Linked DNA regions of Callithrix jacchus. The protein of the gene in region 7 binds, or shares a complex with, the protein of the main gene of each other region. Links are inferred from orthologs where the notes say so. Each region holds a gene or a part of one and is shown on either strand. Other genes may lie near its edges.

Region 1 (2,906 bases), on a different chromosome or scaffold from region 7:
GTAGTTAGTGTTCATCAGCCAGAGGTGCTTCCATCTAATCTCAGTTCACCAGGTAATGCTATTATCTGGTGATTTGATTGTGGCATCTACTCACAGTAATGTATTTTGGTTTTGATTTGGAAACTTTTGTAAATCTTTTAGGCAAAAATAATGTGTTCCTCAATATGCAAATGTGTTGGCTGTAAGAATTTTGAAGAAAGCCCAGAAAGGAAGACATTGATGCACTTGGCAGATGCAGCTGAAGTAAGGGTACAACAACAAACAGCAGCGAAGACGAAGTTATCCTCTCAAATTTCAGACTTGCTTACTAGGCCAGCACCAGCTTTAAATAGTGGCGGTGGAAAGTAAGTCAGTATTTTAATCTTTTTGTAGTATTTCCCAAATACTCACTTTTGGTAAAGTTTCTTTTTGGGAGCCAAGTTGAGTTTATACTTTTGGTTGTTGCAAACCTGATTTTCGCACTTTCTTTCCATCTTCAGTTAACTTTTAGATGTTTAAAGGTAACAGAAACTACTGTCGGATTATTGCACAAGTCTAAAATGCACAGTAATGATTTAGTCCCTTGTGCTTAATTTCTGCCTACTAAGATGAGGTAATTATGTAATTTGAGGAACCCCAAAGAAAACCGGGTGTTTCATGTGTCTCGATGAAAGTGTAATTATTCATGGTTTTGCATTTTCTTACCTTCTCTTGCCTTTTCCATTTCTTGGAGCAGTTTCCCCATCCTGTTGGGCCACCCATCATATCATACTGTAATAATGCAGCTCCATATTGTTATCTCCTTTATCTGCTAAGCTCTGGAGTAGAAAAGCTTGACCTCTAAAGTCAGGAAGACTTGAGTTTATGCTATCTGTGCTACTTAGTAGTTTGTGAATTAGACAAGTACTTCATCTCTTTGAGCCTCAATTTTCTTACTTTTAAAATAGCTCATATCAGGTGGCTGTGAGGAACAAGGCATGTCTATAATATCTCCAGTGTTTGTCAAGACCTGATACAACATAGGTTTGTGATTTGGATTAGACTGATATTAGCAAGCTTGGTAGAGGTTAATTTGAGGTGTTATTAAATGGAATAAACCTTGCAAATGGCATATTATTTAAAATGCCTAAGTTGAAAATGAGATCCAATGCTTATAAAAATAAGGCTTTTTTTTTTCCTTTATGAGATGAAGTCTCACTCTGTCGCCCAGGCTGGAGTGCAGTGTCACGATCTCAGCGCACTGCAACCTCTGCCTCCTGGATTTAAGCAATTCTCCTGCCTCAGCCTCCTGAGTAGCTGGAATTACAGGCATGCACCACCACACCCAGTTAATTTTTTGTATTTTTAGTAGAGATGAGGTCTGTGTTGGCCAGCGTGGTCTCGAATACCTCACCTCAGGTGATCTGCTCTCTTGGCCTCCCAAAGTGCTGGGATTATAGGCATCAGCCACCATGCCCTGCCTTAAGATATTGGTTCTAAAGAACTCTTATCATTTGAAAATAAGCAGCAAATGGTTCTTAGCTGAATAAAGTGGAAATGGGCAGGCACTTAAATGATGTTTATAACCTGGGATCCTTCTGGTTTTTAGAGTACTGAATCTCATCTCCACATGGAGGTTAAAGATATTGCTACAGTAAAATATTTGTAATTTTTAAACTTGGGAAGATGTTTATGATATGAAATGAAAACAAAATTATAAAATTATACATTATAATCAAAACTACCTATTAAAAACTTGTATTAAAAAGTTATGCCAAAAATAAATAAATAAATAAAGTTATGCCAGCATGTTAACAGGCTTGTTTCAAGTGACCAAAACATTGAATTGGTATTTTCTAGTGTAAAGTGCTTGTTTGTATGTTAAAGATTTCTATATAGCTACATGGCAGCCTGAATTCTCAATCACCCTCTCTTGCCATTGTGAGCCTTAATTTCAGACTTCGTTGTTTAGTATACTTCTGTTAGTGACTGCTTACTCACAGGTTGTTGAGTTAGTGGTTAGATTATGTTGCTTGAATTAATCTGTCACAGACTAAGACTTGAGTTGAGGCCAGGCACAGTGGCTCATCCTGTAATCCCAGCACTTTGGGAGGCCAAGGCGGGCAGATCATGAGGTCAGGAGTTAGACCAGCCTGGCCAACATGGTTAAACCCCGTCTCTACTAAAAATAGAAAAATTAGCCGGGTCTGGTGGTGGGTGCCTGTAATCCCAGCTACTCTGGAAACTGAGGCAGGAGAATCACTTGAAACTGGAAGGCGGAGGTTGCAGTGAGCTGAGATCATGCCACTGCACTCCAGCCTGGGCAACAAGATCAAAACTCTGTCTCGGGAAAAAAAAAAAAAAAGACTTGAGTTGGCTATAAATAGAGCAAACATCACCATGGGTTGCTCCAATTTAATCCTCCATAGTTGGGGTCTTTATGGATGCAGCTCTGAATAGAGCAACATTAGGTTTCCCCATTTTGTTTTGTTGTGATAGAACAATGCAGGATTTTGGTATGTTTTCTTGTTTTCTACAAACATTATCAGTGACTGTAGTAAAGTGCTTTATTTTCCATTTTGTCCAAGAGATAGTGCTGTCAATTCCCAATATTATTCTTTAATTCAGCAACTATTCATGTAGTGTCTCTATGTGTCATGCACTATTCTAGACTGGAACGACAGCAGTAAATAAAGATTGAACTTACAGAGGAGCATACATTCATGATTTGGAAAGGTTTAGTTAAAGAAATTCTAGTCTTCATGTAGACTGTATCTTTTAGTTACCACATAACCTTGCCTAGGTAATACGTCAGGTATTTTATATTAAATGTTATATTTCCTGAACAATATTCTTACAATATGTGAATAATAAAACCAGATCTAACTTGTTAAAGCTCTTTTTAGGATGTGCTTGTGCTCACTGTGTAAATTGTGATGCTCATCCTG
Region 2 (3,500 bases), on a different chromosome or scaffold from region 7:
GTGGGAGGCCAAGGTGGGAGAATCACTTGAACTCAGGAGATGGAGGTTGCAATGAGCCAAGATCACACCCCTGTGCTCTAGCCTGGGCAAAAGAGCAAGACTCCATCTCAAAATAAATAAATAAATAAATAGAATAAAATGTTATCCTTTTACTTTGAAAATCTTTCTTAGTGAGATTATCTTTTCCTGTATCTATTAGCTATGTGAGTTATAACCTTTGTGAAGTCATATTCTTTATTCATTTTATTAACCCTGTTAGTAGTTCTTAATATAATTCTGCATACTGATTGTCTGGTCAATGTAACTCAGGATGGAGCTAACGGTTAAAAAAAAATTACAGCTAGAGCATGACACTGTAAATTATTTCATTTGAGATGGAGTCTCGCTCTTCTCACCCAGGCTGGAGTGCAATGGCATAATCTCGGCTCACTGCAATCTCCAATCTCCGCTTCCGGGGCTCAAGTGATCTTCTTGCCTCAGGCTCCCGAGTAGCTGGGATTACAGGCACACGCCACCATACCCAGCTAATTTTTGTATTTTTAGTTGAGATGGGTTTTTGCCATATTGGCCAGGCTGGTCTCGAACTTCTGACCTCAAGTGATCCACCAGTCTTGACCTCCCGAAGTGCTGAGATTACGGGTGTGTGTCACCACACCTGGCCTGTTAATTACTTTAATAGTAAGCTTTTTTTTTTTTTTGGCAGGGGGTAGGGGACAAGGTCTTGCTTCAACATTCTGGGCTCAAGTGATCCTCCCATCTCAGCCTCCCAAGTAGCTTGTCCTGCAGGTATGCACAAACACACCTGGTCAATTTTTTTATTTAGTCATGATTTTTTTAACTATTAGATCCATAAATTTTGACAGTGATAATTTCCCCCCAAATATTAGACATCATTTTTCCACTTATCTTTAATAAGCTATATAAGACAATTCACCTAAAAGGCACAAAAAAAAGAATGTAATCAATTTAATTATACAACAGATAAAGCAATTTCTGCCTCTTCTTTTAAACATATTTGACTCTTTCTAAAATGGATTATAATCATGTCATTTTTCTTCCAAACAGGAAACCGAGAAATACTTACACGTTCCATTTATATTAAGACCACAAGTCCTGTACACATATTTCTAAGTACAATACCAAATAATTAATATTTTATTTACCTTTTCAACTTATAGTATCTCCTACAGTTTCTCAATATCCTTCATTTCTCTCAATATTACACAATGTTATAACCTTTAAAAATAAACTCTTCCAATGCCGGGCACAGTGGCTCACACCTGTAATCCCTGCACTTTAGGAGGCAGGAGTGGGCAGATCACAAGGTCAAGAGTTCAAGACCAGCCTGGTCAACATGGCAAAAACCCCGTTTCTACAAAAAAATACAAAAATTAGCCGGGCATGGTGGCACATGCCTGTAATCCCAGTTACTCAGGAGGCTAAGGCAGGAGAATCACCTGAACCCAGAAGGCAGAGGCCACAGTGAACCAAGATCACGCCATTGCACTCCAGCCTGGGTTACAGAGCAAGACCCCATCTCAAAAAAATAAATAAATAAAAATAAAATAATAAACTCTTCAATACAAGTGTCTAATACATTAAAATTTAAATATTTTCACCAAAGAAATAAAATATAATGGATACCAACTTTGATACAAATAAAGGAAAATCATTGGATGCTAATTTTAGCATCTAATTTCACCCGTCCACAGGTACAAATGCTCAGAAAATGATAAACAGAATTGTTACTATCACTAAGATTTATAAGCTCATATAAGCCATACTCTACTTCTCAAACTCTAACATAGTTACCTCTGCTCTGAACATTTCAGGATTCTAGTTAAAGATACATAGTTTCCTTCCACTGTCCCTTTGCTCACAGTTGGAACAGATTTTCTGCAAGCCACATATAAGGCACATGCTAACCAATGAAGATCATTTCCCTGTAAAAGAAAAGAAAATCCATTTTTAATTAATAAGCTATATATCTATTTCAATATTTTTTTAAAGTATGTTTAAATGTTTATATGGTGGTGCAGGGTGAAAAAATAAAAGAAAGTGTTTATATTTTTGTGGGAAATTTATTTTCAATAAGAACCCTATCTCATACGCTCTTCTTTTTTTTTTTTGAGATGGAGTCTCGCTCTGTCACCCAGGCTGGAGCACAGTGGTGTGATCTTGGCTCACTGCAACCTCCCCCTCCCAGGTTCAAGTGATTCTCCTGCCTCAGCCTCCAAGGTAGCTGGGACTATGTGCCACCAGGCCCAGCTAATTTTTGTAGAAACGGAGTTTCACCATGTTTGCTAGGCTGGTCTTAAACTCCTGGCCTCAAGTGATCCATCCACCTCGGCCTCCCAAAGTGCTGGGATTACAGACATGAGCCACTGTGCCTGGCCCCACATGTTCTTCTTATAATGTGACATTGACATTATTTTACTGAGAGGCAGGGAAGGTTCCCTCACCATGGAGGTGGGCAGGGGTCTGCACACTGATTAACTGTCTCTATCAACAGCAGAGGTAGAAGTGATACTATGTAATTCTAAAGATTATACAAGGCAATATAGATTCCACTTGGTTCTTTCTCTTAGGACATATGCCTTGGGAGTCCTAAAAAAACATCCAAGAATTCAGTTACCCGGTATCACCATGCTGGAGAGACCACCATGGAACAGACATACAGAGATGCCCAATGAGCTCCAGCTGTGCCAGTTCCTAGTTGCTCAAGTCTTCCAGGTGAGGTACCAGTCATTTTGATGCAGAAACCTGATATCAATATTGTCCCTGGCCTGAATTTCTGACTCACAGAACCTGTGAGCAAAACAAATTGTTTTCTGCTCCTAAGTTTTAAGGTAATTTGTTATATAGCCATCGGAATGGACATAATATTGTTGTTTGTATTTTTAATCTTGCTCAAAATCTAGAAAATTATAGAAATACAAAATTAAGCTTGAATGGACATTCAGCCACTAATTTTATACCTAATCAAAATACATACATGAATGCATGAAATTTATTCTTATAACCAAATGAAACTATTGTAGATTACTAACATATTATCATTAAACAATAATAATTTTTAAGGCATTGCTTCTAAAAGATCATCCTCACAATTCTTTTTTATTCAAGAAGTGATACAACTTTACTACTCCTATAAAAGAGAGCAAGGATGGAAGATGTCCTTTAGTTTCACTGTATCCATTACTGGTCTAAAGGAAAATAAGAAAAACTGGAAGTTCTTCATTTTTCACATTTATACATAGACTATCTTAAAAATCCATTTATATGTACTAATAGCACAGATGTATTGTCAAAAAAAACCAGCCAACGTTTGTGTATTACACTTATCTCTGGGAGATGGTTTCACAATATTCGTTATTTATAATGTAAAAGCAAATTTAGATTTATAACTACTGCATTTCTCTACTATATCAAATCTCTTAGAAAGTATAAAGTCAGTCACAACATTATCCTGTGCTTTAATAAAGGGTTTAAAAGATAAT
Region 3 (3,500 bases), on a different chromosome or scaffold from region 7:
TTCAGGTTGTGTCTTGTAGTTGGCAACTACTGTATAGTCTATATCTCAGCAAAATCCACACGGTGTATTCTTGTGTCTTACAGGGAAGTCTTCTGACCAGCTGGCCCTCTGGCCCTCCTACCATGAAGGAGGAGGAGAGCAGTGAGGAGGAACCTATAGTAGCCACCACTTGGAAGGAGCAGGAACCCATCCCTACAGATCTGGATGCAGTGCGAACACCAGAGCCCTTGGAGGAATTCCCGAAGCGTGAGGACCAGGAAGGCTCCCCGCCAGAAATGAGCCTGCCCTACAAGTGGGTTGTGGAGGCTACAAACCTCCTCATCCCTGCCGTGGGTTCTAGCCTCTCTGAAGCCCTGGACTTGATCGAGTCGGTATGTTGGTCGCAGCACTTCGCAGTGGCACAGAGCACTCCTGGCAGTAATGCTTCTCTTGTGGGCCCACATCGTTTTGCCCATTCTGTTGCTAACAGTTACTGACTTGATGCTGAGTGGCTAGCCCTGACTCAAGGGCTGTGGACACTAGGGTTGTCACCACGCAGTCCCTGTTCTTGGGGAGCTCCCAGTGTGTGCAGCAGGAGTTTGTGGTGGCATCTGACTTCTACGTATGGCACGGGGTGGGGTGGGAAGGCTGCCCAGAGGAGGTGTCACTGCACTGTGTCCTAAAGGTTGACTGGCAGGTGACAGCACAGGACAGCATGTTATTTGTGACGTCACACATGGTTGGGCCTCCCTGAAGAGGTCCCCAGGAAGTGTCAAGGCTTGGTGTTGGTCTTGGAGTGGTGAGTGGGTTCTGGTTACTCAGGGTGGGGCAGGCATTGAGCCCATGTTGTGGTTACTGTGTTGGCTGTAGGGTTGTGTCCTCTGAGGAGGGCTTCTTGGTGTGACACTCCAGCTTCTGGCTGCATTGACCAGGACTGCACTGTAGAGCGGGTTTTGGGAGGTGAGAGACCCAGAGGCCTGGTCATTGGGGTGGGGAGTTCAGTATGAGGGCTCCACATTTGCCTTCCCACGTGAGTGTCTGCCATCCTAGAACATCTACTAACTGCCAGGCTCTGAGCTACACATACAGTCTGCGTGGTATCCTGTGAAGTGTGTCATTTCTGTTTTATAGGTGAGACTGAGGCTCAGAGAGGTCAAGTAGTATACCCAGGGTTGCACAGCAAGTATGCTTGGTGGTCTTGACTGCCATGCTGTACTCCTGCTATTACCTGATGAAGGGTTGGAGGGCCATCTGCTCAGACCCTCTTTCACTGTAGGCCTCACCTCTTGACCCCAGTGGCTGGGACTGGAACCAGCTGCAGGGTCTGTCTGTGGTACCCCCACCTCCAGGGGGTTTTGGAGGAGTTTGACAGGCACCAGCACATTCATGGATTCTCAGCATAGCTCTGAAGCAAGCACTGGACACCATCTCTCCCGCCAGCCCTGAGGGGAGTGCCAAGATGGGAGTCAGTCCCTCTATGCCTGGCACATTGTGTGTACCACAGCATCATCTCCCTTTACCTCAGACCATTCTGTTTCCTTTTGCTTGGTAGGCATAGCTCACTTGTATTGAGCACACACTAATTGCCATACCTGATGCTTAATGAGTAATGACAGTACCTAACATTTGAGTGCTTGCCGCGTGCCAGGCCCTTCACTTGCTACCTAATGTGTGGGTTCTTCGTTGGTCTTTAACAACCTGTGAGGTGGGTAGTGAGAGCACCCCACGCTCCCAGGAACACGAGTCAGACCCTGCTGTCTAGCTCAGCACTCAGGCTATTTCCACAGTGATCTTCTTCATCTGTTGGGGGAGTTAGTGCATGTGTGGAAATTCCGTCCTCCCTTCCCTGCTCTGTCCACTCCAGGTGGTCCTTGTAGGATCTACTTCTTGTCTATCAGACGCCTGCAATGCTGGGGCCACCCTGAGGTTGGGATGTGGGCCTGAGGTCGGTCCTGCCCCCAGGTGGCCTTCACCTTTGGGAGTGAACTGCCCCAGGCTCCTGTAAGTCCTGGGAAGCAGAACTTACAATCAGCTCTGGGGTCCCCTCAGAGGCCAGATTTCCGCAGACCAAAGTGGAAGCCTCTGTGTCCAGAAGACTTTTGGTTTGTGTTGTGATTTATTGAGTAAAGGAGGGAAAACCTGGAATGATTCACGGGCTTCTTAGAAGCTGAGTAACTTCAGGGAGACTAAATCCCCTTAGCTCATCTTCCTTGGTATGAAGGTGAAAGCTCATCATGGGTCAGGATGGCTAGTGACTTCCCTAGGAGAATTGTAGGGATTGGAAACAACTTTTGTGAGCTGCCCCAAGCAGGCACCAATGATGAGTGACATCCCATTCAATGCTCTGTATTTCGTTCTGTAAAAATAACGTGCAGGTAGGGTACTGTGGTTCATGCCTATACTCCCAGCACTTTGGGAGGATCATGTGAGCCCACAAATTTGAGATCAGCCTGGGTAACATAGCGAAGCACTGTATATCAAAAAGCTTTTATCAAAATTAGCCAAGGCCAGGCACAGTGGCTCACACCTGAAATCCCAGCACTTTGGGAGGCTGAGGCAGGCGGGTCATGAGGTCAGGAATTTGAGACCAGCTTGGCCAATATGGTGAAACCCGTAACCCATCTCTACTAAAAATACAAAAATTAGCTGGGTGTGGTGGCACAAACCCGTAGTTCCAGCTACTCAGGAGGCTGAGGCAGGAGAACTGCTTGAACCCAGGAGGTAGAAGTTGCAGTGAGTGGAGATCGTGCCACTGTACTCCAGCCTGGGTGACAGAACAAGACTTAATCAAATAAATAAATAAATAAGAAATAAATTAGCCAAGAGTATCAGTACATGTCTATAGTCCCAGCCACTCAGGAGGCTGAGGTGGAAGGATCACTCGAGCCCAGGAATTCAAGCCTGCAGTAAACTGTGATTGTGATTGTGCTACTGTACTCCAGCCTGGGCAACAGAGACCCTGTCTTTTTTTTTTTTTTTTTTTTTGAGATGGAGTTTCACTCTTGTTACCCAGGCTGGAGTGCAATGGCGCGATCTCGGCTCACCACAACCTCCACCTCCAGGGTTCAAGCAATTCTCCTGCCTCAGCCTCCCGAGTCGCTGGGACAACAGGCGTGCGCCACCATGCCCAGCTAATTTTTGTATTTTTAGTAGAGACGGGGTTTCACCATGTTGACCAGGATGGTCTCAATCTCTTGACCTGGTGATCCACCTGCCTCGGCCTCCCAAAGTGCTGGGATTATAGGCGTGAGCCACCGTGCCTGGCCCTAGAGACCCTGTCTTTTTAAGGAAAAGAAAGAATCTGTGAAAATATAGATGTACAGTCATAGAAAACTGAGGAAATGCATGAGATATTAATAATTAGTCCTGGGCTATAGGTTCATACTTGACACTTAAATATTTCCCTTAATGGACAAGTCCTCTTGTATTAAAAGCAGAGTAATTGCAATTTTAACCTCCCTCCCTGGACAGGACCCCGATGCTTGGTGTGACTTGAGTAAATTTGACCTTCCTGAGGAGCC
Region 4 (3,500 bases), on a different chromosome or scaffold from region 7:
AATGAAAATGTGAAAAAAAGGTGACATGTACAAGGAAACAGTGCTGTTCATATTCTTGAAATAGACTTTTCTTTGAGACAAAAGTAATGACATTTGGTTCATTTTCACAAATTGCACACTGGGAGAGATCACACAATTACTGCAGGGAACTGGAGGCAAGCAATTTGGTCACAGGAATTTGTTTGTCTTGTTTTAAATTAAAAAGCTGTATGAAATGCATAGCTTTGATTAACCTAAAGATACAGTTTCCCTCTCTGTAAAACTCCAGATTTAGGATGCTGGCAAAAGGCAGTGCTGGCAAGTATTTAATGTACATGGAAACACTATTCTATTTTGGCTTCCAGAAGTAGCCCTGGTAAATTCTATGCACCAATGCATTGGCTAATGATGATTAATTTCGGTTTTACTATAAATTATCTAAATGTCGCTTAAGTACTTAAGAAAGCGCTCGCTCCTTTCTAGAAGCTGTCTAAGGCAGCTGATGCGTAAAGCACCTCAACTAGACCTCCAACTAGTTCAGCAGTTCAATCTGTGCCCCTCGGCCACAGGACTGCCCTCTGGATCCCTCAATACGCAGCTCCCCCTACTGGGGACTTTTCATGTTCCTTTCCACCTTGTCAAAGGCAGTCCAGGCAAGGAAGGGAAACAAAAACTCGATCGTCAAGGACTGCTCCATGTAGCAATCTCAATTCTAAGAATAATTACATGGGTGTGAGGAACACAAAAATCCCACCTCACAGAATATAAATGGGCTACACTCCCACTGCCAACTCTTCAGGGATTCTCCCCACTATCTCCTCAGGAACATGCTTGCTTTGTGATACCATTTACTGCTGTTGGTCAGACTTTCGTTTACACTATGTTAACTTTCATCTCAATCATCTCAGCCTTAATGTGATTTGCTTATTGTGTTTCTCTAGTTTTCACTGAACACAGTGCAAACAAAGGCAAAGACTGAAGCAATCATTTCAAAAACAAGAGCTCACACTACAAACACACATGAGCATCACATATTGAAACGTAGGCTTTCTCTTGTCTTTATTCTGGGGAGGAGGAATCCTCCTCGTCATCTTCCTCGTCTTCATCATTGAATGAACAGGGGGTCTCGCCTCGGGACTCGGAGCAGTGAGAGGCTGCACTGCTGGACTGGTGACTGTTTGGGGCCAGGAACTGCCCAGTTGCTAAGGCCACTTCTGCATCCAAGCATAACCCTTGGTTTACACTAGCAAACAATTAAAAACACACAGGCTCATTAATGTGGTAGAAACAGTTTTGTAAAACATAGGATAAAAAGATAGGAAGGAGGTGCCATTGGTGAGATCTGCCACAAACCTGCTCAGCAGGACCTGTGCTGGCAGGAACATGAGCCCGGCTCACTGCTACAGTCAGTCAGGGCTCTGGGGTTTGCCTTTCTAACCCTGAAAACAATACATACCTTGACTGGGGTAAGGTGGCACCAGTGGTCAGGTCTAAATTTGAACCTGATTGGGTAGAGTTCAGAAGTAGTCCCTGATTTAACCAAGAAGGTCCTGTGGAGATATCTAAAGGAAAAAATGAGAACAAAAAAATGTAAGTCCTCCAAGCAGAGAAAAACCCAGGTTTCCTCACCTTCTTGGAAGAAAAAAAATTCTAGAACATAAAACCAGGAAAAATAAATACAGGAGGGGAGCTTATGGAGAGAAGGAATTAAAATGAAAACACTCCACAGGCACTTTGTTTTTTTCTTAGATAAGCCCTCCAGAACCCAGCCCTCAGGGTGCAGCCCAGTGTACTATCCTCAATGCCTGCTGCCCTCACCACTAAACACCTGGACTGCGGGGTTAAGAGCCAAAGCCAGGAATGGGCACAGTGGCTCACGCATGTAATCTCAGCACTTTGGGAGGCTGAGATGGGCAGATCACGAGGTCAGGAGATGGAGACCATCCTGGCTAACATGATGAAACCCCATCTCTACTAAAAATACACATATATAAAAAAAATTAGCCAGGTGTACGTGGGAGGCTGAGCCAGGAGAATCACTTGAACTCAGGAGGCAGAGGTTGCAGTGAGCCAAGATTACACCACTGCACTCCAGCTTGGTTGACAGAGCAAGACTCTCAAAACACAAGAAGAAATACCTGAGGTAAGAATGCCACCCTGCTTCAGGGAAGACAGATCTGTTTTGGCCAAAACCCACACCGCACTGTCTTTTCAGGTGCCTGCTGGTAAACTCAATGCTGCTACTTATGAAAAATACCTCTTCTTTTTTCCTGACAAGATTTTTCCTGGTTTCCTTTGTTTTCTAATTCAAACTAGCTCTTATTTTAAGAGTCTCATGCTCTACCGACTGAGCTAGCCAGGCACTGGCTGACTAGCTCTTATTTTAAAAATCTCACATGCAGTCACATTTTTAATGATGGAGAGACAGACATTACTGTTTTAATCTACAGAAATTTTGGGCTGGGCGCGGTGGCTCACGCCTGTAATCCAGTACTTTGGGAGGCCTAGGTGGGCGGTTCACCTAAGGTCGGGAGTTCGAGACCAGCCTGACCAACATGAAGAAACCCCATCTCTACTGAAAGTACAAAATTAGCCAGGTGTGACTGTAATCCTAGCTACTAGAGAGGCTGAGGCAGGAGATTCCCTTAAACCTAGGAGTCGGAGGTTGCAGAAAGCCAAGATTGTGCCATTGCACTCCAGCCTGGGCAACAAGAGTGAAACTCCATCTCAAAAATAACAAAATATTTTGGATATCTCTTTGCCATCATGACAACACAACACGATCAATTCTTATCGTAATTTTACTGGTTTAAGACTTATCATCCTATCTAGAAGGCAGTAACTGGGACTGAGTACAGTGGCTCATGACTATAGTACCAGCACTTTGGGAGGCCGAGGCAGGAGGATTGCTTGAGCTCAGGTGTTCGAGATCAGCTTACAAACCTAGCAAAACCCCATCTGTATTAAAAATACAAAAATTAGCCAGGCATGCTGACAGATGTCTGTAATCCCAGCTATTAGAGGCTGAAGGAAGAGAACTGCTTGAACCCAGGAGGTGGAGGTTGCAGTGAACCGAGATTGTGCCACTGCACTCCAGCCTGGGTGACAGAGCAAGACTGCCTTAAAAAAAAACTACACATTACTAAATGAATTAGTATACTCTGTCAGCTGCCACTTTAGGAATTATTTTGAATGTATATACTTATTAAAAATAATTCCTAAAAAGAAATTCTGTAAGCCCAAGCACATACTCAGAAAACATAATCTGCCAAAATGAGCTATGATTTAATTTAATACAAACCTTTTTGAGATCACTCTACAAAAACAAACTATGATTTAGATTAGAAACTCTGGTATCCAACTAAGAGGCCATTCCCATGTAGGAAAAAGTAAACTAAATGACTATGCTAATTTTAGAATTGTCTTATGAACCTTTTTCTTTGAGGCAGCTGTGGAAAAAAAGAGACTTCAAGTCTAAGAAGAATAGCAGACTTTAAATACATTAAATAACAAGTCTGTAC
Region 5 (4,237 bases), on a different chromosome or scaffold from region 7:
TGTCCTCTGTGGCACAGTGCAGAAAATCCTGGACAAGTGAAGGATGTCTGGAAGCTTCCCCAGCTGTCCATCCTGCGGCACTGCGGGTTGTCTGTGTGTCTTGTGTTGTTTCTGTTTCGTGACCATTTGCTTCATTTTCTTTCCTTTTTCAGAAATGGCTCAGGGAACTGTTGGAGGTGTGTTCATCACGACAGCAGGTTCCACATCTAACGGCACGAGGTTCTCCGCCAGGTGACAGCGGTTGAGGGTGTGGGAGAAGCATTGTCTGGGCCTCCTGTGGGGCCCAGGGGCCAAGGCAGGGTGGACGTCTCAGATGTGGCCATCAGGTCTGAGGCTGCTCCGACGTGCTTGTCTTCCCAGGCAGTGGCCCCACCGGCTTTCCCTGTGTGGAGAGCTGCTTTTCCTAGTTGGTTTCTCCTCACTAAAAACTAAAAGTAATACGTGGTGGTTGTTTTTTTTTTTGTTAAAGTATCACCTAAAAAGTAAGTAGGAATGAAAACCACCCAAATCCTTCTGTCCCGGGCAGCCCAAATAACAGCAAGTATTTCTAGTTTTTTTCTCCTATTTTTCAGAACACGTCTGCGGTCACAGTGCATTTGTATTTCAGAACGCATTTGTAGTCATGGCGCATGTATTTTTCAGAACGCATCTGTAATCACAGCACACATATTTTTCAGAACGCATCTGCAGTTACAGTCCACGTATTTTTCAGAGCAGTCACAGTGCACATATTTTTCAGAATGCATCTGTGGTCACAGCGCACGTATTTTCCGAACATGTTTGTGGTCACAGTGCATGTATTTTTCAGAATACGTTTGTGGTCACAGTGCACTTTCTTTTCAGAACACATCTGTGGTCAGAACGCACATGTTTTCTTCCATGCATTTTCACCTTACATTTTATTGTATTTATATATATTATTTCTGTGCTATTAAAGGGCCTTTATTTAAATAAATTCGTATTTAATCTTTGACCTGCCATCCCATAGGGTAGAATGATGTCCCTAGGTATTTATCTTGGTGCTTCAAAGAGAAATATAGCTTTTACAACAGATATTAACAAAACAAAGATTTTATTGACTTTTATATTGCATTGTGATACAATATGTAGTATTACTTTATATTAATCCTAAGTGTTCATAAAATCTTTAATTGGAAATCTAAGAACTTAGTAACCTGTGGGTCCAGATAACAGGGCACGACGTAGTGAGTTGCAGTGCGCATGAGCCTGTGTTGGAATGTGCTGTGGCCGTGAGATGTGACAAGTGTGTCAGGGGTGCATGTAGCTTCCTGGCCAGCTCTGGGGTTACAAAGCCAGTCTCTTCCAGTCTTGGCCTCACCTGTAAGGTGAGACTGGTGATGAGTCGTTGATCTGTGGCAAGGATCAGTGAAGTGGTGATAGAAGAAGGGACTTGTCACAGTGCCTGGTAACAAGGTTTTGACCGAGGCCGGTTCTCTTTCTCTTCAGCTGTGTGTGAATGTGTAGGGGTCAGTCTGTAAACATGTTTAACACTGGTTCTTCCATGAGGTGAAATGTGGGTGTTTTTAGGACTTTCATCATCAGATAATCCTTTTCATGGATGTGATTCTCAGACTTGTCAGTTTTTCATAACAATGGAAACAAAGCTACTACCATTTCTTATGAAATACCAATTTTCAAAGTGGCATGATGGGACATTTTATGAAAGTACCTCATGAAAGGACATCTAGGCAGTTCCCAGTTATCAGGAAAACTACAGTGAGCAGCTTTGCGGCTGAATTTCTCACCATTTCTGACGTGTTTCTAAGATACAGAATCACTTCATCAAAGGCATATTGACTCATTTTCATTGTAGTTAATAAATACTATTAAAATATATTAAAATATATGCATATATTTTTATGCAGTTGGAAAACATTTTTAAATCTTGGAACATTGTGAGCTGTGATTAGTGGTAGGTTTTTGTGGTGCTGCAAACCCTCTGGGTTCCCAGTCCATGCTGCTAGATTCTAGCCGTGCTCTGGACTACATCCTGTCCTGCCCCAGGCTCTCTTTTTTTCCTGTTGCTGGTTATGAGTGAAAGTCCTGGAGGGAGGGATCTAACAGTTTTTCAGTTCATTGCCTCTGGGCACTGCTCCTGATGGAATGATGAGTGAGGGAGAGGGAGCTTGTGGCTCTGCTCAGCCTCCTATTTCTGGCATTGTGGATTCCAGGAGACAGGGTCCGAGGAGAACCAGACGGGGATGGAGTGAGTGCCAGAGTGCTGGCGTGCTGTAGTGCAGACACTCATGACCTCCCAGTTCTGTGTGTGTGACTGACAAAACTGACACCTGTTCGGCGCAGCCTGTCCTTCAGCCGCAGGCCCTGAGGTGAGGGGAGGCCGAGTGGACTGCTCTGCACTGACTGCCTCATCCGCCTCCTGCCTTGCAGTGACCTGACCAACGGTGCAGATGGGATGCTGGCCACAAGCTCCAACGGGTCTCAGTACAGTGGCTCCAGGGTGGAGACCCCAGTGTCCTACGTCGGGGAGGATGACGAGGATGACGATGACTTCAATGAGAATGACGAGGATGACTGACGTCCTCCCCACTTCAAATTCAGCTTCAGGAAAACGTTTAGGGAAAAGAAACTTTTTTTTTTAATGTGGGTTTTCTGTTTCCTTTTGGCCTACTCCCAAGAAGATATTGGTAAGCTATTGAATTTAGATATGCACCTCTGATAAGCAAGGGTTGTTTACCGTAGGATTAGGACGTGCTGTGGATGTGTGTTTTGATACCAGTGTGCTGATGCAGAGCGTTTATTTACTTTTTAGGATTTTGTGTTTTCATTTTTCTGGTTTTCTCTAAGTGCAGAGTTCAGTTTCGCCCCTGAACAGTTTTTGCTGAGTCTGCTGAAGAAATTATATTTCATCCACATCCATGAAAATAAAACACCCTCCTGTGGTGGATGGTGAGCACCTGGTGCCATTTATTTGCCGTGAGTCTGGACGGCACCCCCGCTGGTGGATAGCAGGACTCTGTGGATTGTTCCATTTGGTCAGTGGTACTGTGTCCAGAGCCCCAAGCAAACAGCAGAATTCGACTTTCTAAACAATAAACTTCATCAACCTTATTGACTTTATTTTCCCTTAAATTATATTGACTGTTGTGATTCCATCAAGCTTATCAACTCTTTTCTCTCCCTATTTGCAGCAACAAATTGCAAAGTGCTTTTGTTTGTTTGGTTAGGGCTTATTGCCACGCTGGTGCGGCTATGGAGACTGTCTGGAAGGCTTGGAATGGTTTATTGCTTATGGTAAAATTTGCCTGATTTCTTACAGGCAGCATTTGGAAACCTTTTATTATATAGTTGTTTACATACTTATAAGTCTATCATTTAAAAACATGTACTGAAACAAATGTTGTATTTGTTTCATAAGCATCTTCCTGTAATCTATTATAAAATTGAAATTAAATATAGAGAATGTTTTAACAATTTTTTAACTCAAAATTTGTCAATCATTTTTAATAGTTCTTTTTTTATAAAAAGGAAAAGGAATTTAAGGACAGGCAGTAGTCTCTTTTAAAGTTTATTCACAAAACCCATTAACTGCACAGTTGCTGTTAGCTGCCTGTTCTGAAATGATAGTCTTTTTATTGAAACACAAATAAACTTTTCTGTAATATTTTATGGAATATAAAGAGACTTTAATTGTTTGACTTGTTTAACTTGGCACTGTTAGTTTTTATTAATAAAACGCGCATGGGCATTTTGAACAAGCTGTGTTTCTCTAATTCAGGATTATTGTCTAGAAATTTGTCTGTCTTGTTGGTCTTACTTTATACTTGAGTGAGAAAGTAGGTTGTTATTAGGCCCAGACACAGTGCGTCCTGGTGGTCCCTGTGGGCACACCCCCCGACCAAATTTTGGTCAGAAGCACATCTTCCGGGAGCCCACCCTGAAGATGGAGAGTGGCCAAGGGTGGAGGTCTTGGATATAAGGAAAGGAGGAGGCACCTTTTTTGGTGCCTGTGGTGCAGAGAAAGATAAGCCAAGTTCCTTGGCTTTTTTTCACGATGAAAATTGAGACTTAAAAATGTAAAAGTTTGACTTCCAGAACAAGAATAAGATTGGGAGGCTTCTGGGAAGATGGTGGAATAAGGAAGCCAGGAATCTGACGTCTACTCCCAGGCAGGATCTGCTGGATGCAGCTGTTCTGTAACTACGGAATCTACCAAAGGCTTAAAGCTTACAAGGGAGCATATGGCAGTTAATTTTGG
Region 6 (3,949 bases), on a different chromosome or scaffold from region 7:
ACCTGGAGTACACGTCTAGAAGGAGATTCAAAGTTCATACACTTACCCTCTCCCCTCACATCCCCTCTCCCCCTTACCTCGGATCAAGGAAAGTGAAGTAGGGTGGGGAAAGGGAGCAATGGCAACGTGGACGCTCACGGCAGGGAAAGAGTAATCAAAAAGAGTAGTTCTCGGGGGAGAGAGAGAAGGCTGGTGCAGAGGTGAAAAGGAAAGACGGTGGACGGATGGAGTGGTGAGGGCAAGAGAGTGACAGCAGGGACCGGGCAGGGCTGGAGGAGAGTGGGCGAGAGCCAGAAAAGAGGAGGCTCAGGAGTAAAAGGGTGTAAGGCCAAGAGTAACAGCTCGGGTGGGATCCGGGACGAGGTAGGGTATGAAGTGAGAGCTGCGCATGGGACAGGGCCGCACAGGTCGCGTAGGAACACGAGGTCCGGCCAAAAAGGGGCTGGGCCAAAAAGGTGGTCCCGCCCGAGGATGGTTCACGGAGTGGACGGAAAAGATCTAAGTCCTGGCTTCATGGTCCCTTGGCACCACCCTCACTCGCCTGCAGGATCCGGGCTCGCACTGCCGCCGCCGCCACCACCGCCGCCATGGCTCTCGGCCTCCCTAGCTCCGCACCCTGCGCCTCTACTGCTCAGAAGCACTACAGCTGCCAGGCCTCGCCCTCCATCCTGACTGGCTTCCTCATTGGTGGGTAGGACTATTTTTTCCAGCCAGTCACGCGAACCAACACCTGATTCCGCCCCTCACACGCCAGTCCTGTGAATAAGTGATTGGTCAGGAGCGAAAAAGGTCTCGCCCTCTCCCACTTCAGCCAATGCTGTTGGCGGAGGTAGAGAAGACGCCCCTGACTTGGACACTCCATACTGTGCACACGGGGAAGACGCCCCCTAACCCGGAACTCCGATTGGCCAAGGGCGCAACCGAGGCCCCGCCCTCTCACCGAGAAAAGTAAATAAGACCCTCCAAGAATTTTGCAGTCGCTCCACCTCAACAACTGCGCGAGGGGCGTGGCTATAATTAGGGGCGGGGATAGGCAAATGTTGCCCTATGAGGCGAGGGAATGAGACTAGGCTGTGAGTTGGGGATAGGGTTTCTCTTTGGGGGAGTGGCTTATGGATCCTCGTTTTCCCGCCGACGGTTGGCCATGTCACGTGACATGGGTTGGAAGATGGCGTCTCCCACAGACGGTAAGAGCCGGCTTGTAGATCTTTGCCTGCAGCCTCCTTCTTTGCTCTACCGGCAACGTCTACTCTGTCTCTGCCCCTCAAACATACATTTCTTTCTTGGGCTCTTCTCCTTTCCCTTTTACTTTTTTTCTTGAGATCCATCGCCGTCTTCAGCTCACTGGTTCTTCACAGCGGCTCCGGAGGTGCCCAGTTTCCCCGCTCTGTACCAGGCGTGTGGAGGAGGGCACCAGGGAGGGACTCACTTTGGGTAAAAGGACAGGGGGTTGCCCTGATCCTTCCTTGTCTCTATTTGGGTGAGGCTGAGAGCCTCGGAGGAGATGTTAGTGGAGGAAAGGACGTGCCTTAAACTAGTCTCCTCCTTGGAGTATCACACTGAGGGATCAGTTTTCTTCTGATTGAGCGCAGGGATGGAACGATTCTCACAAACTCTAGCAGTGGCTGCTGGCTGACCTCATCTCGATACTGAACCGCAAGAGAAACATGATCTCTCTCCTGTCTCTTGTTTGGGACCACTGCCGTGGCAGCAAGATAATCGGGGGACGTTCTCGGCCCCTCACCGTGAGAGTCGCGAGGAGAATGAGTATTGAGCTTTTAAGTGTTGTCTTGCACAGGTCGCAACCTCTTTTGCATCTGCTTTTTGTGTTGTTTCTTCAGGCTGAGTGAATGAACGATTTCTGTTTATGTATTGTAAAATGCAAGTCATTTCAAGTAACAATTAGGTTGTCTTGGTATATTCCTATGCTTTTGGTCTCGGTTCTGCTTTAGAGAGTTAGGGTCTTGCAGTCATTTTTAAACTCATTTTTGTTTCTGTCGTTCCCATCCCAACTATATATATCGATTTCATTGATATATAGGTTTCCCTCCCTTAGACAAACACATTTTGTATTTGGAAGGAATCTTGAAAGTTCATTACAGGAATGAGGAAATTGAAGCCAAGGTGAGCTTTATTAAGTACCTGCTACATGAAACGCATAATGCTAGGTGCTTTGAGATTCCAAAAGATTACTCAAACATATAAATATTTTTTTTTCAATTTCAGATCTTTTTTTAGATGTCACCTCCCAAAGAGTCTCTTAGAACACAGGATCTGGAGTCGCTCTTCCCCACCATTATTCATTATCTCAGTGTCTTCCTTGTCAGCATAGTAATTCTGTTAACTTTGCCCCTTTTATGCTAGATTATAAATTTCAAGTTTGTCTTGTTTATAGTTGGATCCCAGGGTTTAGCACAGTGCCTGGTGAACAGTAGGTCTTTAATTAGCATTTATTGAAAGATTGATTAGATATATGCAGAAATAATATATTACTTGATCTTAAGTTTTAAGATCTTGGGAGGCTGAGGCGGGCAGATTGCCTGAACTCAGGAGTTCAAGACCAACCTAGACAACATGATGAAGCCCAGTCTCTACAAAAAAAAAATACAAAAATTAGCTGGGCATGGTGCCACACACCTGTAATCCCAGCTACTTGGGGGGCTGAGGCAGGAGAATCTCTTGAGCCCTGGGGTGGAGGCTGCAGTGAACCATGTTCATGCCACTGCACCAGGCTGGGTGACAAAGCGAAACCCCCGTCTCAACAACAACAAAAAAGAAATTATGGATGTTTGGAGTCAAAAGAGAGTCTCCTGCCTGGGTGCTCTCTTGCTGAAATGTCCTTCTCTTGCCAGAAAGAAGGGCATTTAAAAAGCAAGGCGAGGGAATAGGGAGTTACTGTTAACAGGTACCAAATTTCAGTTTAGGTAGGTGAAAAACATTCTGGAAATGAATGTGCTGATGATTGCACAATTAATGTACTTAATACCACTGAACTGTATACTTAAAAGTTGTTAAAATGGTCAAATTTATGTATATTTCACCACAATTTAAAATAACAAAGCCAAGTGATAGAAGTAGAGGTAATTGTTATTAAATTTTTTAGTTTATTTTTAAATTGTTTTTACAGATTTGGGGGATTTTAAAGATGTGTTTCTTGAGTTGGATTTTTTCCCCTGTCTTCTCAATTTAGTTTCCTTTCTTTGGCCAGGAAGAGTATTAAAAACATTGTATGTTTTTCCTTTGGTCTTCTAGCCATCTTTATGGTCACTTTATTTGCACTCTTTATTTTTTAAGTTTTCATTCTTATCTCTTACAGAGTTTCACTCTTCTCCACCTAATCTTTTCTTTTTAATCTGACAAAATCAAGTCGAGCACTTTGAACTTAATTAAATTCATCTTCTAAATAAGTAACTCATTCTAAAATATTCCATGGCCTAGCTCTCTCACTTCTATTTTTAGTGTTCCACCTGTCACTGTCTTTAAAATTTAATTCAAACAATATTGATTTAAAAATGTTTTTTATTTACTCTTTTGTCTTTTTCATGCTAAATTTGCTGGAACTTCTTTGAAAAGGAGAAAACTGAAATTCAAATACAGCCATCTAATTACTTAATTTGTGAGAGTAAGACTCACAGCAGAGTTCTGTCCCAGATTGTGGTATCATAAGGTCACCGGTGTAGGTTATAGATCCTACCCTCAATGATTTTTTTTTAAATTTTCTTTTAGAGACAGGGTCTCTCTCACTCTATTGCCGGTGCTGAAATGCAGTGGTATGATTATAGCTCCCAGCACACTGAAAGGCTTAAGCTATCATTCCATCTCAGCTTCCCAAGTAGCTGATACTACAGGCTCACACCACCATGCCCAGCTAATTTATTTTTGTTATTATTTATTTTGTTTTGAGATGGAGTCTCATACTGTCATCCAGGCTGGAGTGCCATGGCACCAT
Region 7 (2,637 bases):
TGCTGATTTATTGCTAAGAAATTAATTCATTGATTATATCAGGTATTTTATATTTGAGCTATAATTCAATTAAATTTTGAATTTTTTTTTCTCTTTAGTGTCTAGCAGAAGGAGGAGACCTGAATTCCTTTGAATTCAAATCACTTACAGACTCATTAAATGATATCAAGAATACAATAGATGCTTCTAATATCAGGTAATTCGTTAGGTACACTCTAATCTTTTTAATGGAAGTTTGTAGTGATTTTCAGTACAAGTTTTAAGAATTATGTATATTTGTGAAGTACTCATGTTATTCTCCATTAAATATATTTTTAAGAGCTTTTCACTTATATCCAGTCTGTTGACAGAATAGAAATTTCACATAGATTTTGTATATAAAGAAATTAGGAGGTATATTTAGGTTTGGGGTTAACATGGAGGTTCAGCTTAGAAGTTGAGCTTTCCCAGTCAGTGAGAAGCTCATCCCCTCCTTCCAGCTCCCTGTGGCTCCTTTGCTTCTTTAGAGCATATTTGTTCAATTACTACTGAAGTAGAATTATGGCTAATGTAGTAGAGGAGATTTATTCCTTCTCTAAGACTTATCAGAGCTGTTTCCTAACTAAAATTCAGCTCTCCTTTTTAAAAACTTTTTTTCTTAATTTTTTGAAATAAAGTTGTTAACCATATTTCTTCTTTCTTTAGTTGCTTTCAGAATAATGTAGAAATCCATGTTGCACATATTCAGAGTGGCCTGAGCCAGATGGGAAACTTACATGCCTTTGCAGCAAATAACACCAACAGAGACTGAGTAGAAGATTTCATTATTCCAACTGCACAGGACATTGTTCTTTTCCTTTATATAGGCTTCCAACACCAAATAACCTAACTGCTGGAAAACAAGGGAAATTTAAATCTCCAAATAAGGCATTTTAATAGACTACTGCTTCTTAAACCAGCATTGCTGACCAGCATTATATTTATTTTTCTTTTATTATTCAAATGCAGTAGCATTGCTTATGTTATATATGTTTTTATTAGCAAATATTTTTAAACTGAGAATATCTGAACATAATATAATTTCATTGACCAATTTTTTTAACGTGCATGAATTCGCCGCCACACATGGAGACAACTCAGACAACTGCTGCAATGGAGAGTCTGAAGAAACCTGGTCTTTCTGTTCATGTCGGTGCAATGCGGAAATTCCATCCAGAAAATTACAGCTCCACTTAATTTAGTTACTCACCATCTCAGTCTTCAAAAGATGACATCATGAAGTGTGGGAAGTCCTAGTTTTAAGGAAAGCCACTGAAATATAGATGGGAAATATGGACTTTACAGGTATATGTGATATATACTTGCAATGTGACATGGTTCGATAGATCATTTTATAATAATAAATATTTAAATTTATCATAACTTATATAAAAGAAAACTTTGTTGTTTGTCTGTTGAAATAAAATGAAGGAATAGGGAGAAAACATAACTGCAAAATGCTAAATTTCTGCAAATGGATTTGGCATATCTTCCCATCAGTTCAGGTCAAAAGTGCTATTGTTATGAGATTTATTTAAAAAAAAAAAAAAAAAGACTGATAACACACTATTTTCATATTTTTTTTGTTTGTTTGCACAACTTTTAAACCAGATTACTGGTTAAAATCCAACAGTACACAATTTGTAAAGTAAAAAGATTTTATAGGGAAAACAAATATAATAACCAGTGCTGTGAAATGCAGAAGAAAGGTTTGTTTTGGTTGTTTTTCTTTTTTAGGAAAATCCTGCCTAAAATGTTAATCTTGTAAAAAGTATGTATTTGGAATTTTCTTTGTTTTAATATAGAATATTATAAATTCAAAATATAAATTGTTTTCAAATTTGGAGTTTAAGATACAGCTGTAGAGGTGATTTTAATTCCTTTAGATGTCTCATCAAATGAGACTTTTTATATGTTAATGTATAATAAAACTGAAACAAGATTATTTTCCATTTGAAATTTTTGTATAGTTTAAAAATGCTTCCGTATTCTTTGTTGGTATTGTGCCACTGCAGAACTTTAGTGCAGAGTTTATATTTAGCTAAACTGTTATGTTAATTAAATGCATAAATCTTCTATTCTTAATATTTGTAATTCTAAATAAATTGATCTATGAAAATTAGTATTTCCTATATTTTCATTTAATTAATTCAAGTTGATATGCATTCCTTCTGTTTAAAAGTTTTGAAGAATTGTAATTTTCATTAAATTACATTTTTAGGGGAAGCAGTACAGAGTAATTACCAAGTCACTCTACCATACCATCCAGTGGTATAGATTTTATTACCATACCATACCACTATACCATACCATCCAGTGGTATAGACTTTATTACCATACCATACCACTCTACCATACCATCCAGTGGTATAGATTTTATTACCATACCATACCACTCTACCATACCATCCAGTGGTATAGATTTTATTACCATACCATACCACTCTACCATACCATCCAGTGGTATAGACTTTATTACCATACCATACCATTCTACCATACCATCCAGTGGTATAGACTTTATTACCATACCATACCATTCTACCATACCATCCAGTGGTATAGATTTTATTACCATACCATACCACTGTACCATACCATCCAGTGGTATAGACTTTA

The links.
Region 1: LIN9 (region 7) and LIN54 share a complex: the UniProt entries of both Homo sapiens proteins name them as parts of the DREAM complex. The link is inferred for Callithrix jacchus from reciprocal best matches to the Homo sapiens genes LIN9 and LIN54.
Region 2: LIN9 (region 7) and RBL2 share a complex: the UniProt entries of both Homo sapiens proteins name them as parts of the DREAM complex. The link is inferred for Callithrix jacchus from reciprocal best matches to the Homo sapiens genes LIN9 and RBL2.
Region 3: the proteins of LIN9 (region 7) and MYBL2 are in contact, whole or in part, in a crystal structure (PDB 6C48), measured with the Homo sapiens proteins. The link is inferred for Callithrix jacchus from reciprocal best matches to the Homo sapiens genes LIN9 and MYBL2. Residues at the interface, in NP_001353174.1 of Homo sapiens: Lys356, Gln385, Arg386, Tyr388, Ala389, Thr390, Val392, Leu393, Leu395, Glu396, Asn399, Leu402, Asn403, Leu406; in NP_002457.1 of Homo sapiens: Trp663, Ala667, Cys668, Gly669, Gln674, Met677, Gln678, Ala681, Arg682, Leu684, Leu685, Arg687.
Region 4: LIN9 (region 7) and TFDP2 share a complex: the UniProt entries of both Homo sapiens proteins name them as parts of the DREAM complex. The link is inferred for Callithrix jacchus from reciprocal best matches to the Homo sapiens genes LIN9 and TFDP2.
Region 5: LIN9 (region 7) and TFDP1 share a complex: the UniProt entries of both Homo sapiens proteins name them as parts of the DREAM complex. The link is inferred for Callithrix jacchus from reciprocal best matches to the Homo sapiens genes LIN9 and TFDP1.
Region 6: the proteins of LIN9 (region 7) and LIN52 are in contact, whole or in part, in a crystal structure (PDB 6C48), measured with the Homo sapiens proteins. The link is inferred for Callithrix jacchus from reciprocal best matches to the Homo sapiens genes LIN9 and LIN52. Residues at the interface, in NP_001353174.1 of Homo sapiens: Leu335, Gly336, Phe338, Phe342, Leu343, Ile344, Val346, Thr347, Leu349, Ser350, Lys351, Leu353, Met354, Lys356, Lys357, Ile360, Leu363, Arg364, Asn367, Thr368, Ala370, Glu371, Lys374, Ile382, Phe384, Gln385, Tyr388, Ala389, Val392, Leu395; in NP_001019845.2 of Homo sapiens: Asp61, Met64, Leu65, Leu68, Gly69, Leu71, Thr72, Thr73, Leu76, Met77, Val80, Leu83, Gln84, Leu86, Ala87, Leu90, Asp93, Glu94, Glu97, Met98, Arg100, Gly101, Leu104, Asn105, Ile106, Leu107, Glu108, Pro110.

Annotation. Positions count from the first base shown.
Region 1 is NC_133504.1:114,862,099-114,865,004, forward strand, and holds part of LIN54 (protein lin-54 homolog), read left to right. Parts: intron 1-141; coding exon 142-344; intron 345-2,906. UniProt on the Homo sapiens protein: Component of the DREAM complex, a multiprotein complex that can both act as a transcription activator or repressor depending on the context. In G0 phase, the complex binds to more than 800 promoters and is required for repression of E2F target genes.
Region 2 is NC_133521.1:11,359,325-11,362,824, reverse strand, and holds part of RBL2 (retinoblastoma-like protein 2), read right to left. Parts: intron 1,944-3,500; coding exon 1,813-1,943; intron 1-1,812. UniProt on the Homo sapiens protein: Key regulator of entry into cell division. Directly involved in heterochromatin formation by maintaining overall chromatin structure and, in particular, that of constitutive heterochromatin by stabilizing histone methylation.
Region 3 is NC_133506.1:39,073,373-39,076,872, forward strand, and holds part of MYBL2 (myb-related protein B), read left to right. Parts: intron 1-83; coding exon 84-371; intron 372-3,450; coding exon 3,451-3,500. UniProt on the Homo sapiens protein: Transcription factor involved in the regulation of cell survival, proliferation, and differentiation. Transactivates the expression of the CLU gene.
Region 4 is NC_133518.1:42,587,437-42,590,936, reverse strand, and holds the end of TFDP2 (transcription factor Dp-2), read right to left. Parts: intron 1,542-3,500; coding exon 1,436-1,541; intron 1,223-1,435; coding exon 1,039-1,222; 3' UTR 56-1,038; downstream 1-55. UniProt on the Homo sapiens protein: Can stimulate E2F-dependent transcription.
Region 5 is NC_133502.1:29,108,517-29,112,753, forward strand, and holds the end of TFDP1 (transcription factor Dp-1), read left to right. Parts: intron 1-152; coding exon 153-231; intron 232-2,409; coding exon 2,410-2,557; 3' UTR 2,558-3,737; downstream 3,738-4,237. UniProt on the Homo sapiens protein: Can stimulate E2F-dependent transcription.
Region 6 is NC_133509.1:109,031,448-109,035,396, forward strand, and holds the start of LIN52 (protein lin-52 homolog), read left to right. Parts: upstream 1-1,149; 5' UTR 1,150-1,156; coding exon 1,157-1,187; intron 1,188-3,949.
Region 7 is NC_133520.1:23,015,478-23,018,114, forward strand, and holds the end of LIN9 (protein lin-9 homolog), read left to right. Parts: intron 1-98; coding exon 99-196; intron 197-684; coding exon 685-790; 3' UTR 791-2,137; downstream 2,138-2,637. UniProt on the Homo sapiens protein: Acts as a tumor suppressor. Inhibits DNA synthesis. Its ability to inhibit oncogenic transformation is mediated through its association with RB1. Plays a role in the expression of genes required for the G1/S transition.